Linked DNA regions of Anolis sagrei. The main gene of each other region encodes a partner of the protein of the gene in region 2 in a complex. Links are inferred from orthologs where the notes say so. Each region holds a gene or a part of one and is shown on either strand. Other genes may lie near its edges. The genes, in order: NSMCE2 and non-structural maintenance of chromosomes element 3 homolog.

The links.
Region 1: non-structural maintenance of chromosomes element 3 homolog (region 2) and NSMCE2 share a complex: the UniProt entries of both Homo sapiens proteins name them as parts of the SMC5-SMC6 complex. The link is inferred for Anolis sagrei from reciprocal best matches to the Homo sapiens genes NSMCE3 and NSMCE2.

The regions. Positions count from the first base shown.
Region 1 is NC_090024.1:19,389,185-19,398,413, forward strand, and holds the start of NSMCE2 (E3 SUMO-protein ligase NSE2), read right to left. Parts: upstream 4,450-9,229; 5' UTR 4,277-4,449; intron 2,865-4,276; 5' UTR 2,851-2,864; coding exon 2,718-2,850; intron 1-2,717. UniProt on the Homo sapiens protein: E3 SUMO-protein ligase component of the SMC5-SMC6 complex, a complex involved in DNA double-strand break repair by homologous recombination. Is not be required for the stability of the complex.
Region 2 is NC_090022.1:172,852,598-172,861,476, reverse strand, and holds the start of non-structural maintenance of chromosomes element 3 homolog, read left to right. Parts: upstream 1-4,646; 5' UTR 4,647-4,711; exon of another isoform or gene 4,712-4,761; intron 4,762-7,316; 5' UTR 7,317-7,332; coding exon 7,333-7,377; intron 7,378-8,879. UniProt on the Homo sapiens protein: Component of the SMC5-SMC6 complex, a complex involved in repair of DNA double-strand breaks by homologous recombination. The complex may promote sister chromatid homologous recombination by recruiting the SMC1-SMC3 cohesin complex to double-strand breaks.

The DNA.
Region 1 (9,229 bases), on a different chromosome or scaffold from region 2:
ATTGTTGGATTATACTTTTCTGGTAAGAAAAGAAGTCAATCCCATAAGACTGAAAACCGCCTTAAAGGATAAGTTTTGACCTCATGTTCCCCAACTTTGTAGCCTCGGGTATTCATCCAACCTCTCTCTGAGGCTGCAATCTTAATCCTGATTTATATTTCAATTCCACTGATTCCTAAAAGGCCCAAAGGGACTTAACTACCAAAGCCCTCATCACAATGAGTTGCAGACATTCCAGAGATTGCTGTAACAGGTGAAACAATGAACTGCATGGGATTTGCATCATGAAGTCTCTGCTGCCATCTCTTGGTTTCCTTCATCCGTATCAGTGTTTCTCAACCTTCCTATTGCCACGATCACTTAATACAGTTCCTCATATTGTGGTGACCCCCAACCATAACATTATTCTCGTTGCTACTTTGTAACTGTAATGTTGCTAATGTTATGAATCGTAATGTAAATATCTGATATGCATAATGTATTTTCATTCACTGGACCAAATTTGGCACAAATATCCGATAACCCCAAATTTGAATACTGGTGGGGTTGGGGGGGGGGTTCATTTTGTCACTTGGGAGTTGTAGTTACTGGGATTTATAGGGCCTTCTCGGTGGTGGCCCCTCGACTCTGGAACTCCCTTCCACTGGAGATCAGAACTGCCCCTTCTATCTTAACATTCAGGAAACAGGTGAAAACTTGGCTTTGGGGATTGGCATTCGACGAATGAGCCATGATCCTGTGATATGGATGGATGATGACGAATAATGATTTTTGATGACAACTGACCACTGTAATTATATGATTGTATTTTAATGTTTTAGTGTGATTTAGAATATGATGTTTTAATGACTGTCTGTAATACTGATGTTGGAAACCGGCCTGAGTCCCTTGAACGGAGGTGAGAAGACAGGTATACAAAACTGCTAAATAAATAATTAATTAATAAATAAAATAGTTCACCTACAATCAAAGAGCATTCTGAATTCCACCAATGATGGAATTAAACCATACTTGGCACACAGAACTCCCATGACCAACAAAAAATACTGGAAGGGTTTGGTGGGCATTGGCCTTGAGTTTTGGAGTGTTAGTTGACGCAAATAATGATAGATCTGGACCAAACTTGACACGAATACTCAGTATGCCCAAATGTGAACACTTTTGGAGTTTGAGGAAAATAGACCCTGACATTTGGGAGTTGTAGTTGCTTGGATTTATAGTTCACTTACAATCAAAGAGCATTCTGAACCCCACCAACAGTAGAATTGGGCCAAACATCCCACACAAAACCCCCATGACCAACAGAAAATACTGTGTTTTCTGATGGTCTTTGGTGACCCCTCCTACACCCCCTTGGGACCCCCATCAGGGGTCCTGACCCCCAGGTTGAGAAACACTGCATTAGATTGATTAGATAGAGAGATTTATAGTTCACTTACAATCAAAGAGCATTCGGAACCCCACCAACAGTAGAATTGGGCTAAACATCCCACACAAAACTCGGCACTATAAAAGAGTTTTGCGAGACCTGTCGCAACAGTGTAGTAATGGTGAGGCAGCGGACCGTATTTTAGTCCTTGTGGACCACTGGTGGTCCACAGACCACAGGTTGGGAACCACTGCTGTGGAAATTATTTTTTTCTGTTTTGGCCAAACTCTCTCACTCAGAAAGGGGAGTTCGAGTTCCCACCAGATTAAAGATGGATTAAAGACCTCACAACCTCTGAGGATGCCTGCCATAGATGCAGGCGAAACGACAGGAGATTTATTTATTTGTCGTGTCAGAGCAGCCAGTCCATTATATTACATTTCTAACATAACAAAGCAAACAAACAGAAAAATACACAACTTGTGACTTTGGTAGCTGGTTAAATGTCCTTTGACCAGTATCTGGCCACTTGGAGTGCCTCTGGTGTTGCTGCAAGAAGGTCCTCCATGGTGCATGTGGCAGGGCTGAGGGTGCATTGCAGCAGGTGGTCAGTGGTTTGCTCTTCTCCACACTCGCATGTCGAGGATTCTACTTTGTAGCCCCATTTCTGAAGGTTGGCTCTGCATCTCGTGGTGCCAGAGCACAGTCTGTTCAATGCCTTCCAAGTCGCCCAGTCTTCTGTGTGCCCAGGAGGGAGTCTCTCATTTGGTATCAGCCATTGGTTGAAGGGCTGGGTTTGAGCCTGCCACTTTTGGACTCTCGCTTGCTGAGGTGTTCCAGCGAGTGTCTCTGTAGATCTTAGAAAACTATGTCTAGATTTAAGTCATTGGCGTGCTGGCTGATATCCAAACAGGGGATGAGCTGGAGATGTCTCTGCCTTGGTCCTTTCACTATTGGCTGCTACTTCCCGGCGGATGTCAGGTGGTGCAATACCGGCTAAGCAGTGTAATTTCTCCAGTGGTGTAGGGCGCAGACACCCCGTGAAAATTCAGCATGTCTCATTAAGAGCCACATCCACTGTTTTAGTATGGTGAGATGTGTTCCACACTGGGCATGCATACTCAGCAGCAGAGTAGCACGGCGCAAGGGATAATGCTTCTGGAACATGGCCATACAGCCCTGAAAACTTACAGCTACCTATTGATACCGTCCATGAAAGCCTTCAACGACACATTAAAGATGGATAGCGCTCATTTCTTTCCCTGAGCATTCCAGGACAGATAGGAAACCCTGAGAAGTGATTGCAGCAAGAATAAAGCTATTTGTTCAAAAAATGAGAGAAACTCACTGCGATTTTCCACAAGGTCAAAAGCAACCTTGGTAGCCATCTCCATTCCGGTACTTATATAGGACTGGCAGTGTTTCAGAGAGGAAAGGCATGTATCCACGCCGGCAAAGGAGACCACACTTTGGCTAGACATTCTGGTCTAATTTCCTGGGGGAAAAATATATGTATTATTATTATATATTTGTATTCATTTATTATATTGGCATCCCACCTTCCTCCCAACATGGAACCCAATTAGAACCTGTGACCTGTCGGTCTTCAGTCCTGTTGGCACAGGAGTTTAACCATTGCTCCACTGGGGGCTCCATAATAATAATAATAAATATAAATAAAGCTGACACAATATGAGGATTTAAAGATCGAACTGCAGACTCTGGCACAAGCCAGTCAAGGTGGTCCTGATCAGCGATTGGCACACTGGGTGCAGTGCCTAAAGACCTTGGCCTGCACTTAAACACAATCGGCACTGACAAAATTACCATCGGCCAGCTGCAGAAGGCCACCCTACTGGGATCTGCACGCATTATTCACCAAGACTAGACACTTGGGAAGTGTCCGACGTGTGATCCAATACAACAGCCAGCAGAGTGTCTACTGTGGACTCATCTTGTGGTGTTTCTAATAATAATAATAATTAAACACAATCGGCACTGACAAAATTACCATCGGCCAGCTGCAGAAGGCCACCCTACTGGGATCTGCACGCATTATTCACCAAGACTAGACACTTGGGAAGATGAGTGTCTACTGTGGACTCATCTTGTGGTGTTTCTAATAATAATAATAATTAAACACAATCGGCACTGACAAAATTACCATCGGCCAGCTGCAGAAGGCCACCCTACTGGGATCTGCACGCATTATTCACCAAGACTAGACACTTGGGAAGTGTCCAACGTGTGATCCAATACAACAGCCAGCAGAGTGTCTACTGTGGACTCATCTTGTGGTGTTTCTAATAATAATAATAACAATAATAATAAATGTAACATTAATAAACAGAACTGCAAAGACTCTGTGACAAGCTAGAAAAAGGTGGTCCCAGTGGTGATTGGCACACTGGGCGCAGTGCCTAAAAACTTTGGCCTGCACTTAAAAACAATCTGCACTGATTGAATACAAAAGCCAGCATACTGATCTTGTTCACTGTGTACCAATCTTGTTGTGTTTCTAATAATAATAATATTTCCTGTGTGTGATCCAATACAACAGCCAGGAAAGTGATCTTGTTCGCTGTGGACTCATCTTGTTATGTTTCAAATAATAATACATATTATTATTATTATTATGTTGATTTATAGCCCACTTTTTCTCTTATAATTGTGAAAGTCAAAACTATTTCTCTCTTTGCTCAAACTAAACATTTGCTGGCATAACTAGAACAAGTTTTGGAAGGAATGCTGTGTCCAAATACATTTGGAGGAGTTGGGGGAGTTTTGCAAGGTCTTTAGCTGTTCAAAGAGCAAGAACTCCTGGTTAAAGCGGTGCCAAACTGCGTTAATTCTGCAATGTAGATGCATCCAAGCTTCCATCCAATCCACCCAGCAGCAACTTCTTACTTTGCAAAGCCTTGGCTCTTGGGCTGCCTTTCCTTTTTTTAATTTTTGCAGGGAGGCGCAGGGCTTAGAAAAGAAGGGGATCCCTTTGCTCCCTTTCTCTGGGTCTCTTTCCACTGCTGGATCCGGATCCAGACACCCATTTGCTCTTGAAAAGGAGGAGGAGGAGCCTGTCCAAAAGGGAAGCGGATCAGCATCACCCAGAGCCTGGTTCACATGACCTGAGAAAGCTCCCATGTGATGCAAGGCGAGAGGAAGAGGCTGCTGAATGGTGGGTTTGCTTTCTCTTCTTGCATTTTCTCTGGGTGTTTCCTGCAAATTCCAGGCTGAATTCCAACCTCTTGTTTTTTTTCTGCTGCTGGAAGAGGATCAGGTCAGCTGTTTGCATTTTTGGGAGAAAGAAATAATTATATAACAAAACAAAATTGGAGGTGGAGGGGGGAAAAAAGAGGAAGGGATTTGTTTACTATCTTCCTGGTAGAAAGAGAGCTTGCAAGGTCTATGCAGGGCAATGAAAAAGGACTGGGGAGGGTTGGTTGGGAAATAATTCCCCATTAAACTGGTTGGTTATTGACACCAGGGGTGGGTGGGTGCAGCTATACTATAGAATTAATGCAGTGCTCTTACCTACAAGAAGCACTGCCTGAACATCAATCAAAAAGTGGGTGCTAGAAACAATATCATACGAAAGCTGACTGGCACAACCTGGGGATCACAACCAGATACAGTGAAGATATCTGCCCTTGCGCTGTGCTACTCGGCTGCTGAATATGCATGCCCAGTGTGGAACACATCTCACCACACTAAAACAGTGGATGTGGCTCTTAATGAGACATGCCGCATTATCACAGGGTGTCTGCGCCCTACACCACTGGAGAAATTACACTGCTTAGCCGGTATTGCACCACCTGATATCCGCCGGGAAGTAGCAGCCAATAGTGAAAGGACCAAGGCAGAGACATCTCCAGCTCATCCCCTGTTTGGGTATCAGCCAGCATGTCAACGACTTAAATCTAGAAATAGTTTTCTAAGATCTACAGAGACACTCGCTGGAACATCTCAGCAAGTGAGAGTCCAAAAGTGGCAGGCTAAAACCCAGAACCTCAACCAATGGCTGATACCAAATGAGAGACTCCCCCCTGGGCACACAGAGGACTGGACGACTTGGAAGGTGCTGAACAGACCGTGCTCTGGCACCACAAGATGCAGAGCCAACCTCAAGAAATGGGGCTACAAAATGGAATCCACAACATGCGAGTGTGGAGAAGAGCAAACCACTGACCACCTGCTGCAATGCAACCTGAGCCCCGCTACATGCACAATGGAGGACCTTCTTGCAGCAACACCAGAAGCACTCCAAGTGGCCAGATACTGGTCAAAGGACATTTAATCAACTACCAAACTCACAAATTTTGTATTTTGTCTGTTTGTTTGCTTTGTTCTGTTAGAAATGTAATATAATTGACTGGTTGCCCTGACACGACAAATAAATAAAGTGCAGTGGGTCAGTGCAATGGGATCCTGGGCGTTGTAGTTTGGTGAGGCACCAACACACTTTGGGACAGAAGACTTGTAAAATGACAATTCACTTGATGCCATAGCATTAAGGCAAGGCAGTTAAATCTGCATTAATTCTACAATGTAGACGAACCCTAAAATGCCCCAGCTGGTAGGTTAAGGTAAAGGTTTCCCCCTGACATTAAATCCAGTCGTGTCCAACTCTGGTTGGCGCTCATCTCCATTTGTAAGCCAAAGAGCCAGCGTTGTCCATAGACACCTCCAAGGTCATGTGGCCGGCATGACTGCATGGAGCGCTGTTACCTTCCCACTGGAGCAGTACTTATTGATCTACTCACATTTGCATGTTTTCGAACTGCTAAGTTGGCAGAAGCCGGGGCTAACAGCGGTAGCACACCCCACTCCCCAGATTTGAACTGCTGACCTCTCGGTCAGCAAGTTCAGCACTTCAGCAATTTAACCCATTGTGCCACTGGGGCCCCCAGCAGGGAGGTTGTATAATTAATGCATATTATTATTAATATTATTATTATACACTTTATTATATATATATATATATATATATATATATATATACACACACACACATACATAATGCATTATATATAGATACACACACACACCATGGTGGCGCAACAGGTTAAACCATTGAGCTGTTGAGCTTGCTGACCTGAAGGTTAGCAGTTCAGCTCCTGCTGTCAGCCCTAGCTCCTGCCAACCTAGCAGTTCGAAAACATGCAAATGTGAGTAGATCAATAGGTACCGCCTTGGCAGGAAGGTAAATTGGCGCTTCATGAAGTCATGGCTACGTGACCAGGAGGTATGTATGGACAACGCAGGCTCCTCAGCTTGGAAATGGAAATGAGTACCTCCCCGCAGAGCCAGAGATGAGCACTGCCTCCAGAGCCGGAGATGAAAGGGAAAGCCTTTGCCTTTGTATTTGTGTTCCATTGTGTTTCAGAGGTATTGAATGTTTTTCTGTGTCTGTTTACATGCTGGAATCTGCTTTGAGTCCCCTCGGGGAGATAGGTTATTATTATTATTATTACAATATATTATTTATTATTGTTATTATTATTGCACACTTACCTTGTTACATCATCTGTTCCCAGACCTATACAGGTTCCTTACTTCCCAACATCATTTAGACAACATTATAAAAATGCAGCTCTTGTCCGTTCTATTCTAATTTCACCCATTGCATATATTGGTTATTCTAATATATTTACTAATTGTTCATCCACGTCTTTCTTGGTTGTTTGATGTTCTGAATTTGCCATTACTTTTGGATATGAAGCAGGTGAATGGTGTCCACTTGTTATCAAATAGATCTTTTATTTATCTTTTTGCTAATCTTAATGTATAAGTTAACTTTTCTGATAGGGCTATAACTACAGATTTCACAATTCCATACTATGTAGCTGCAGCCTTTAAGCCATTTCAGGTTGCAGAATTCAACTGATTGATTCCTCAGTGCCTCTCTTCTCAGGCACCTAACATACTACAGATCCCAGAAGACCTTAGTGTAGAACCATGAGAGTTAACATGGAATGAAACTTGTATAACTGCATAATAACACACTTTCTCTTATGTTGAAGCATGGTAAAAGAGGTTTAGTATGCAGAAAGATGGTGAATTAATGCAACTCCAGTATGGGTGCGGATGGGAAGTGGCTTGCCTTAGTGACAGGAAGAGAAGAAATATTGAGCAATATTGGTCAGACTCTCATTGGGAAGTAGTTGGTAATAATAATGATAAATCTTCAAGGCACATGTGCTTAAAACAAATTGGAAATTATACAACCTTCTATTTGTTTATTTATTTACTGTATTTGTAAACCGCCTTTCTCAGCCATTCGGTGACTCAAGGCAGTTTCCAACAAATTAGTACATATAAAAACATAATACAGATTAAAACATTAAACAATATAAAACACCACAAAAACAATAAAAACAACATCATTAGCGTCTCATTATCAAGCATTGTCCAGTTCCATTGTCAAATCGTTCGATTTCCTATATTAGCTACTCTGCATTGGTAAACACTTTCTCAAACAGCCATGTTTTAACTTGCCTCCGAAACGTTAAGAGGGAGGGAGCAGATCTAATCTCCCTAGGGAGGGTGTTCCATAGCCGAGGGGCCACCACTGAGAAGGCCCTGTCTCTCGTCCCCACCAAACGTACTTGAGACGAAGGCGGGACCGAGAGCAGGGCCTCCCCAGATGATCTTAGAGTCCTCAATGGTCCATAAGGGGAGACAAGTTTGGACAGGTAAGTTGGGCCAGAACCGTTTATGGCTTTATAGGCCAAAGCCAGCACTTTGAATTGGGCCAGGTAGCAAACCAGCAGCCAGTGGAACTGGCACAACAAGCGGGTTGTATGTTCCCTGAGCGCTGCTCCTGTTAGCAACCTGGCTGCAGTTTGTTGGACTAGTTGAAGCTTCCGGACCGTCTTCAAAGGCAACCCCACATAGAGAGCGTTGCAGTAGTCTATTTGGAATGTAATCAGAGCGTGGACTACCGTGGCCAAGTCAGACTTTCCAAGGTACAGGCGCAGCTGGTGCACAAGCTTTAACTGTGCAAATGCTCCCCTGGTCACCGCCGAAACATGAGGTTCCAGGCTCAGCGATGAATCCAGGATCACACCCAGACTGCGAACCTGTGTCTTCAGGGGGAGCCTAACCCCATCCAAAACAGGCTGTAACCCTATGCCTTGTTCGGCCTTGCAACTGACCAGGAGTACCTCTGTCTTGTCTGGATTCTATTTCAGTTTGTTTGCCCTCATCCAGACTGTCACAGCGGCCAAGCAGCGGTTCAGGACCTGAACAGCCTCCTTAGTAGTTGATGTTGGACTACAACTCTTAACATTCCTCACCACTGAATATGCAAACTAGAGTTGCTGGGAATTGCAGTCCAACCATATCTGAAAAGTATAATGATTCCCACTACAATATAGAATTAATGCAGTTTCACACGACTTTAATTGTTGTGGCTTAATGTTGTGACATTGTGGGAGTTGTTGTTCTACAAGGTTTATTTTTAGCCTTCTCTGCCAAAGAGTGCTGGTGCCTTACCATACTACTACTAATAATAATAATAGTAATAATAAAAACTTCATTTATACCCCGCCACCATCTCCCCAAGGGGACTTGGGGCGGCTTACATGAGGCCACGCCCATCAATACAGTAAAAACAATATAACACAAAAACACAACAGAAAATTAGAAAATAAAATAACGTAAAATACAAAACCAATGTAAGTAAACAACACAACAATATAAAATCGAAATATTAAGACACTAAAAATGATCACCGTGGGCAGGGCCAATCCTAGATTCCATAGGTTGAGCCATAACAATTAAAGTGGTGTCAAACTACATTAATTCTACAATGTAGACACAGCCATGTATAGGAAACCAAAGCCAAGTATACTGAGTCAA
Region 2 (8,879 bases):
AAACCATTAAGTTACATTTAATCCACTCATTTTCCTCTCGGTTCTTTGTTTCCCGCTTGTACTGCCTCCTCGCTCCACATTGGCTCAGAAGCCGAAGTGGCGTTTGCTCTCCCATTGGTCGAGGCACACCTAAGCCGGCCACACCTCCCCTCCAGCTGATGACTCCAGCCAATCAGCGAGATGCCAGCAAGAGGGCAGGGAGTTTGAATTTGACAGTTCTGTATTTCCTATAAAATGTACTCCTTTTTGCCCTGCAAAGCATGTCGACTTTGGCAAAGGATTGCGGTTTGACATCCGTACCAGTCCTACCAGATGGGACAACTGGTAAAGACAACTCAGTGGCTTTTCTTCAACTTGGTGAGACCTTTTATTGGGAAAAATCAGGGAAAAATCTTGGGTGGTTTTTCTGTCTCGCCAGGGCGACAGACTCTCTTTGACGAGTCTGATTGGTCTCTGCCTCCTGGCAAAGACCCCTAAATTCTTGCTCAATATCAGCACGACGGTTTAAACCACTGCACCACCGGAGTCTCCCTACAGATACTTATCTGATCTACTTTTTAAGCCAACCAAGTTGATGGCCATCACAACATTATCTGGCAATGAATTCTATGGATAGATTATCTGGGATAATCTATCGCTCATCTTAATGGCTGCTGTTATATAAAAATACAGTTAAATATACCTAGTATTATGAGACGGTTAATAGCTGTGTGTGAGCCAGGCAGTTAAACCATTTACATTTTAAGAATAAGGTAGAATAAAAGTACAGTTTATACATTTCAGACTTGGGAAATAGATACATTATACAAAAGGATAAAAATTGTACAGCAAGGAGTGGATAAAAATGTGATAGTTACTGATTTTTGTCTTTGGGTGTTTAATCCTGAAGATAATGAGCTTATGCAGATTTCCTTTTTTCCAGGCCACCACACATCGAGAATATTGAAATGATCAGACTCCTTTGTTTTGAGCCACACTTTGGGGTTATTTCTCAATGAGAAACAATAGTTGGATCATTTGCTTCCTGACAGGTAAAGGTTAATGTTTTTCTGTCCCATAAGTAAAACAGAACCCGTTTAATAGATATATAGGAATAAAAGTGGGATAAAATATAGTTTATAGAAGAGAGAGACAAGTCTGGGGATGATGGGAAGGCCTGGGATTTTTATGCAAAAGAGAGGACACGGCTGCATCTCAATCTGGCTTGCTGCTCTTCGAAAAGTATAAATCCCTAACTATTAACATTTTTATTAGGGGTGGGGGTAGGGTGTTTAATAATATTTTGAGTTTTAGGATACAGAATATATTCATATATTCGGTTGCTGTGAGTTTTCTGGGCTGTATGGCCATGTTCCAGAAGCATTGATGTGGCTGAAATGTCAGGAGAGAATGCTTCTGGAACATGGCCATACAGCCTGGAAAACTCACAGCAACCCAGTGATTCTGGCCATGAAAGCCTTCAACAACACATATTCATATATTAAAGGTACAGGTTCCCCTGACATTAAGTCTAGTCATGTCCGACTCTGGGGGTGGTGCTCATCTCCATTACTAAGCTGAAGAGCTGGCATTGTCCATAGACACCTCCAAGGTCACGTGGCCAGCATGACTGAATGGAGTGCCATTACCTTCCTACCTATTGATCTACTCTTATTTGCATGTTTCCAAACTGCTAAGTTGGCAGAAGCTGGGCCTAACGACGAGAGCTCACCCCGCTCACTGGATTTGAACCACCGACCTTCTGGTCAGCAAGTTCAGCAGCTCAGCGGCTTAACCTGCTGCACCATCAGTGGCTCCATTCATATATTGTAAAGAAGAAACTGCAGAAACTATCGAGGTATCTCCCTTCTAACCTCAGCTGGGAAAATCCTCGCAAAAATCCTTGCAAATCGCCTTCTACCCCTCTCAGAAGACACCCTCCCAGAATCCCAGAACGGCTTCCGCCCCTCCAGAGGAACAGTGGACATGATCCGCACTGCACGACAGCTCCAAGAAAAATGCAGGGAACAAAATCAACCTCTGTACATGGCATTCATTGACCTCGCAAAGGCATTTGACACAGTGAATCGCAGCGCTCTCTAGACCATCCTCCAGAAAATCGGGTGCCCTGACAAATTTGTGAACATCCTGCGGCTCCTCCATGATGACACGATGGCAACAGTCTTGGACAGCAATGGCTCCCAAAGTGACCCATTTAAGGTGGAAGCAGGTGTCAGACAGGGATGTGTTATTGCCTCAACCTTATTTTCCATCTTCATCGCTATGATACTTCATCTTGTTGATGGGAAGCTTCCCACCGGAGTGGAAATCATCTATGGGACAGATGGCAAGACTGAAAGCCAAAACCAAGGTTACAACAACATCTGTTATAGAACTCCAGTATGCTGATGACAATGTCTTCTGTGCACATTCAGAAGACCTACAAGCTGCTCTAAACACCTTTGCAGAAGCATATGAGAAGCTCGGCCTGTTATTGAACATCGAAAAAACCAAAGTGCTGTTTCAGCAGTCACCAGGCAATCCCTCTCCAATGCCAGAGATACAGCTTAATGGAGTAACATTAGAAAATGTTGACCATTTCTGCTACCTTGGCAGCCACCTCTCCACCAAAGTCAACATTTACACTGAAATTCAACACTGCCTGAGCTCTGCGAGTGCAGCATTTTTACGAATGAAGCAGAGAGTGTTTGAGGACCGGGACATCCATAGGGATACCAAGGTGATTGTTTATAAAGCTATTGTCCTCCCAACCCTGCTATACGCCTGCGAGATGTTGACAGTCTACAGACATCACATGCAACTCCTGGAATGATTCCATCAGCACTGCCTCCGAAAAATCCTGCACAAGTATTGCACTGTATGCAACAAACACTTGCAAATGTATGTCTACTTAAATAAAATAAAATTTTAAAAAATTTAAAAAATCCTGCAAATCTCTTGGGAAGACAAGCGGACAAACGTCAGTGTGCTGGAAGAAGCAAAGACCACCAGCATTGAAGCGATGGTCCTCTGCTGTCAACTCCGCTGGACCAGTCACTTTGTCTGGATGCCCGATCACCGTCTCCCAAAGCAGTTGCTCTACTCCGAACTCAGGAACAGAAATAGAATGTTGGTGGGCAGGAAAAGAGATATAAAGACAGGCTCAAAGCCAACCTTAAAAACTCTGGCATAAACACTGAGAACTGGGAAGCCCTGGCCCTTGACCGCTCCAGTTGGAGGTCAGCTGTGATCAGCAGTGCTCTAGAATTTGAAGAGGCACGAATGGAGGGTGAAAGAGAGAAATGTACCAAGAGGAAGGTGCCGCAAGCCAACCCCGACCGGGACTGCCTTCCACCTGGAAACCAATGCCCTCACTGCAGGAGAAGACGCAGAGCAAGAATTGGGCTCCATAGTCACCTACGGACCCACCCTCAGGATACTATACTTGGAGGATCATCATCCTCGGACGAGGGATCGCCTAAGTAAGTCATATATTACTCATATTATTTGTAGTTCACAAATCCTGTTATGATCATCTTACTATTTTTTACAAAGCCCATCAAAGGTTTCCATTCTTCTTGCCGTTTGTGCAAATTAGTTTGTTGTAAAATTAATTTGTCCACTTCAGCCATTTCAAAAACATTTGGAATCCAACCATCTGTCATTGGTACAGTTGGTTGCTTCCATAATTTTATATACAGGGTGAGGCTGCATAACTTTTTAAAAAATGCGCGCCATTCAGTCGGTTAAAGACGTAGCAGAGCGCTAGTGGTCTCGTTCAAGAGACGGGAGTATAAAGTTTTGTCCTGACACAGTTCAGTCGCCATCATGCGTTGGAACAGCGAGGAGCGTGCTTTTGCCGTTGAGGCCTACTTTTCGAGCGGATTTGGAGTGGCCGGCCCGCTCTCCAGATTTGGCCCCTTGTGATTTTTTTCTGTGGGTGTTTTGAAATCCTGTTTATGTGAACCGTCCATGGACCCTACAAGACTTGAAGACCAACATCCAGGAAAAAATTGTCAACATAACGCTGGCAAGAGTCATGACAAACGCCAGAAATCAGTTTACTCAGTGTATGGAGAATGGAGAATGGGGGACGTCACCTACTTAATTTGATCTTCAAAACTACGTGAAACAAAACTTTAGGTATGCACCTACATTATTAATTCTGATTCATACAATGGGTTTTATTAAGTTTCGAAAAAGAAGTTATGCTGCCTCACCCTGTATTTAGATAAAATGTTCCTATTGTTTATATCCATTTAGGGAACTAGAAATATATCCCTATTTTTCGTTTTCCATTCATAAAAACCCCATAACTGCCACGGGGAACATGCTGTGAAATTCTGAGAATTGTAGTTTTGCCAGGGTCCCGCTCTAAACTACAAATCCCAGGTGGTTGACATGGCAATTAATAGAATAGCGCTGTAACAGTATAATGTGGCCATTTTTTTTTCTCCCCCACCCACAGCGTATGAATAGGCAGAGAATGCCCTTATATATGAAACTTATGCCAGGCTCAAACTGAGTGATTTATGAGGAGAGACATCATTCCCACCTTCGCCCGCCATTTTCCTTGCCAGGGTCTGCAGTTAAAACGCGCATGCGCACTGTTTTTTTCCTCTCAGGAGGAAAAAAAACTAATCAGAACTTCCTCTATCATCGAAGGAGCATGCGCACTAGGAAGTCCGGGTGATAGAGCGTGCGCATGCGCAAACCGGCGGCAGTCCTGGTGGTTAGTATCAGCGAGTAGGAAGGCGGGAAAGTGGCTCTCTGGGCATTTAGGCAAGTTGTTGGAGGGTTGGGATGCAGTCAGGACAATACTGCTATGTCTCAGTGGTATAGTATCCTGGGATTTGTAGTCTGGTGAGGCCCCAGCACCTTGTGGCAAAACAGCTAATGTCCCTGTAAAACTAGAAGCCTTGGGTGCATCTAGAGCAGGCCTCAAACCATTAAATAGCCAGGCAAGGGCTTCTGGGAGTTGGGAGTTGGAGAGCTACAAGTTCTGCAGGCCTGCTCTAAACCATAGAATAAATGCCGTTTGCCTGCCATGGCTCAATGATCTGTAATCCTGGGAGTTGTAGTTTTACAAGGTCTTCACTGTCAATTGGACACACCTGGAATACTGTGTCCAATTCTGGGCACCACAATTGAAGAGAGATATTGACAAGCTGGAATGTGTTGATCATTTTAGTCGCCCTCCAGAGGAGGGCGACTAAAATGATCAAGGGTCTGGAGAACAAGCCCTATGAGGAGTGGCTTAAGGAGCTGGGCATGTTTAGCCTGAAGAAGAGAAGGATGAGAGGAGATATGATGGCCATGTATATGATAGCCTTCTCGGTGGTGGCCCCTCACCTGTGGAACTCACTCCCAGGGGAAATTAGACCAGCGACATCCCTCCTTTCCTTCAGGAAAAAGTTGAAAACGTGGATTTGGGATCAGGCATTCAGACAACCTGGCAGATGAAAAAGGACGTGGCAATAGAATGGAATTGACATACACAATGGAATTAAGGGAATCTGGACAATGCATGCTGAGTTTGTGATTAGTTTTTAATGATTGTGTTATTGTTAACTGTTTAATTGTGATAAATGCTGATTGTTGTTTTATATGTATATGTACTCTATGTAGGCATCAAATAGTGCCTTTTTTGTAAGCTGCCCTGAGTCCCCCCCTAGGGGGTTGAGAAGGGTGGGGTAAAAGTAACTGTAATAAATAAATAAATGAATATAAATATGTGAGAGGAAGTCACGGGGAGGAGGGAGCAAGCTTGTTTTCTGGCTTCAAACTACAAGAAAGGAGATTCCATCTGAACATGAGGAAGAACTTCCTGACTGTGAGAGTTGTTCAGCAGAGGAACTCTCTGCCCTGGAGTGTGGTGGAGGCTCCTTCTTTGGAAGCTTTTAAACAGAGGCTGGATGGCCATCTGTCAGGGGTGCTTTAAATGCAATATTCTTGCTTCTTGGCAGGGGGTTGGACTGGATGGCCCATGAGGTCTCTTCCAACTCTTTGATTCTATGAAAGCGTGCTGGTGCCTCACCAAACTACAACTCCCATGAGCCCATAGCACTGAGTCATTGCAGTCAAAGTGGTGCCAAACTGCATTCATTCTACAGTGTGGATACACTCTAAATTTCCAGAACTAGCTGGTCTTACATATTTGAACATGGTTGCTCCTGGGTTGAAATTTAGCAAGCGAGGGGCTTAAAACCAACTCGAGAAGCCCAGTCTGTGGGAGGGGAAAGAGGCTCCAGGTTTTAATGTTGGTTTCAGGAATTGATCTTTAAAATCAATATTACTCTGGAATTCATTGCCCGGAGAGATCAGGAAAGCCCCTGTGTTAGAAACCTTTAAAAATTACAGTCTTAAGACCTGGCTCTGCCGTTGCTCTTTTGGAGAGTAGCCACATAATTTTATGAAATTGCTCCCTCAATGTTCTTGTCCCAGGAGCGCCCCCCCCCCCTTTGTACGAAGGTTTGTTTATTTTCCTATCTCTGTGAGCTCTCCCTTCCAATTAGTTCTGCCCCCTTATCTCACCCGCAGTTTTTAAATCATTTTATGTATATGCGGCCCATTCTCTGTTTGATTTTTATGTTCAGTGTATATTGTTTTATATGTTTTGATGTTTTACACTTTAACGTTATGTTGTTTATTTTACTGCAGTTTGTATTTTTGTATTGTAGTTTGTTGTTCGGGCTTGACCCCATGTAAGCTCTCCGAGTCCCCGTTGGGGAAATGGTGGCAGGGTATAGATAAAGTTTATTATTATTATTATTATTATTATTGGCTGAGAGACAGAAATATACACGATTTCCCCATCAGCAGGTTATCTGTCCGAATGTATATTTCCCCTACGAACAGCTTGGAGACTAAGATCATCTGGGGAAGCCCTGCTCTCGGTCCTGCCTGTCTCACAAGTACGGCTGGTGGGGGATGAGAGATAGGGCCTTCTCAGTGGTGGCCCCTTGGTTTTAGAACTCCCTCCCTAGCAATATCAGATCAGCCTCCTTCCTACTAGCTTTCAAGAAGAGAGTCAAAACCTGGCTCTGGAAGCAGGCTTTGAAAATTAGGACAATGCAGTATTCCAAATATAGAATTATGTGCAATTTCACCAAGGAATGAACTCTGGATGGCGTGTTTTTAACTTTGAGTATATTTTAACCATTTTAAACATGTTGTAATTTTAAACTATTTTATGGTGAATTTGTTGTTTTGAGGCACTGTGTATGTGCCATTGTAAGCTGCCTTGAGTCTCCCTGCTGGGGTAGAGAAAAGTGGGGTATAAATATGGCTAAATAAATAAATAATCTGACCTAACATTTTCTTCCTGTCCTTTACAGATAACTCATCAGAAAGATGTCACAGAGCAGGCGTAGTAGTAAAGGACCTGGCCCTTCTCAGGTATTACTATTGTCTTATTTATTTATATCCCGCATTCCTCTCTTAAAAGAAACTAGATGGCTACAAACAACACAACGTGTGTCCGTTGTTTTGTAGTGTGGTTTAATTCATGTGTAGTTTATCCTGACCCCATAAAATTAATGCAATACTTACAATATGTACAGGTTTTCACTGAGAGAGAAAAACAGGACAGAAGATGGAGCTAGATCTTTCCTGTATTTAGGTGTGATATCATAGTACAAAACACCTGTAGTATTTTCAACTTCACACACTTCACTTAATGCATCCTTCTCATGCATTTAAGTGGATAGGGCTTGGTTTTTAACAGGTTCGACTCTCATTACAATATGTAACACAATTTTTATTTCTGTGTTATGAGTGTCATTTCCTGTTTAGTTCTATTACAAAAACATCGAACAGTTTATTACACTGCAAAAACGTTGTCATTGTGGGATATCCTGCAGCACATTTTGTTAGAGTTTTTCAATGAATATCGCATAGAGTCTCAACCAATTCAACATAGTTTGTGGCAGCCACAAAAATGAAGTTTCTGGAGTAGAAGCGCTGATTTCAAAGTAAGTACTGCACAGTTCAACAGGAAATAATACTTTCAATTTTTGTTACATAGTGTTATAGGAAAGACTTGTTTTGCGAGCCAGTAAAGTATAGTGGTTGGAGCGTAGAGCCAGAACAGTAATTTCCAAACTGTAGTCCTCCTAACAGCTGGTAAGCTGGCTGGGAATTCTAGGAGTTGAAGTACAAAACACCAGGAGGACCAAAGGTTGGGAACCACTGAACTAGGATATTGAAAGGTTCAAATTCCTTCTAAGCCATGGAAAGTGGATTTAGGCTGAGAATGAGGATTGCCTCATAATACAATAATTAAAATGAAGAACAATTTTAACAATTATAAACTTATTCGTATTTCTTTTTTTATTTGTTTTTATTAGTTTTTTAGAAGTTAACAATAAAAGAGGGGAAACAATCTGATAATAGGAAAGTAGGAAACAATAGGGAGTGGAAGGGTAAACAGGATTGGTAAGGAAAGTGGTTAAGGGAGAGGGGGGAGGTTTAGCCAGGGAATGAATTGGGAAGGGAAAAGGGGAGGATGAGTTGGAAGGGGGGTGGACGAAGCATTGGTAACTTCCAGTTCATTCCACAGAGATATTATCTCAAATTATAAAGAGAAAAAAAAAGAATTTTCCATTTCTTCGCAATCATTATTCTCGCCGCCGCTGATAAGTAAAAAGAACATTTCTTTATTTTTCCCCATCTCAAAATCCATTATGCACAACAAATAATATTCTGGATTCATTTTGAATTTTATCTTAAGAATACTTTGGGTGTGCTTGTGAATTGTTGTCCAAAAGTTTGGATAAACTTATTAGTATTTCAATGGGAAGTTTGGGCCTGCTTTTGGCTGATGAGATAGGACTGCTGCTGCTGCTGTTGTTGTTGTTGTTGTTGTTGTTGTGTGCTTTCAAGTCGTTTCAGACTTAGGT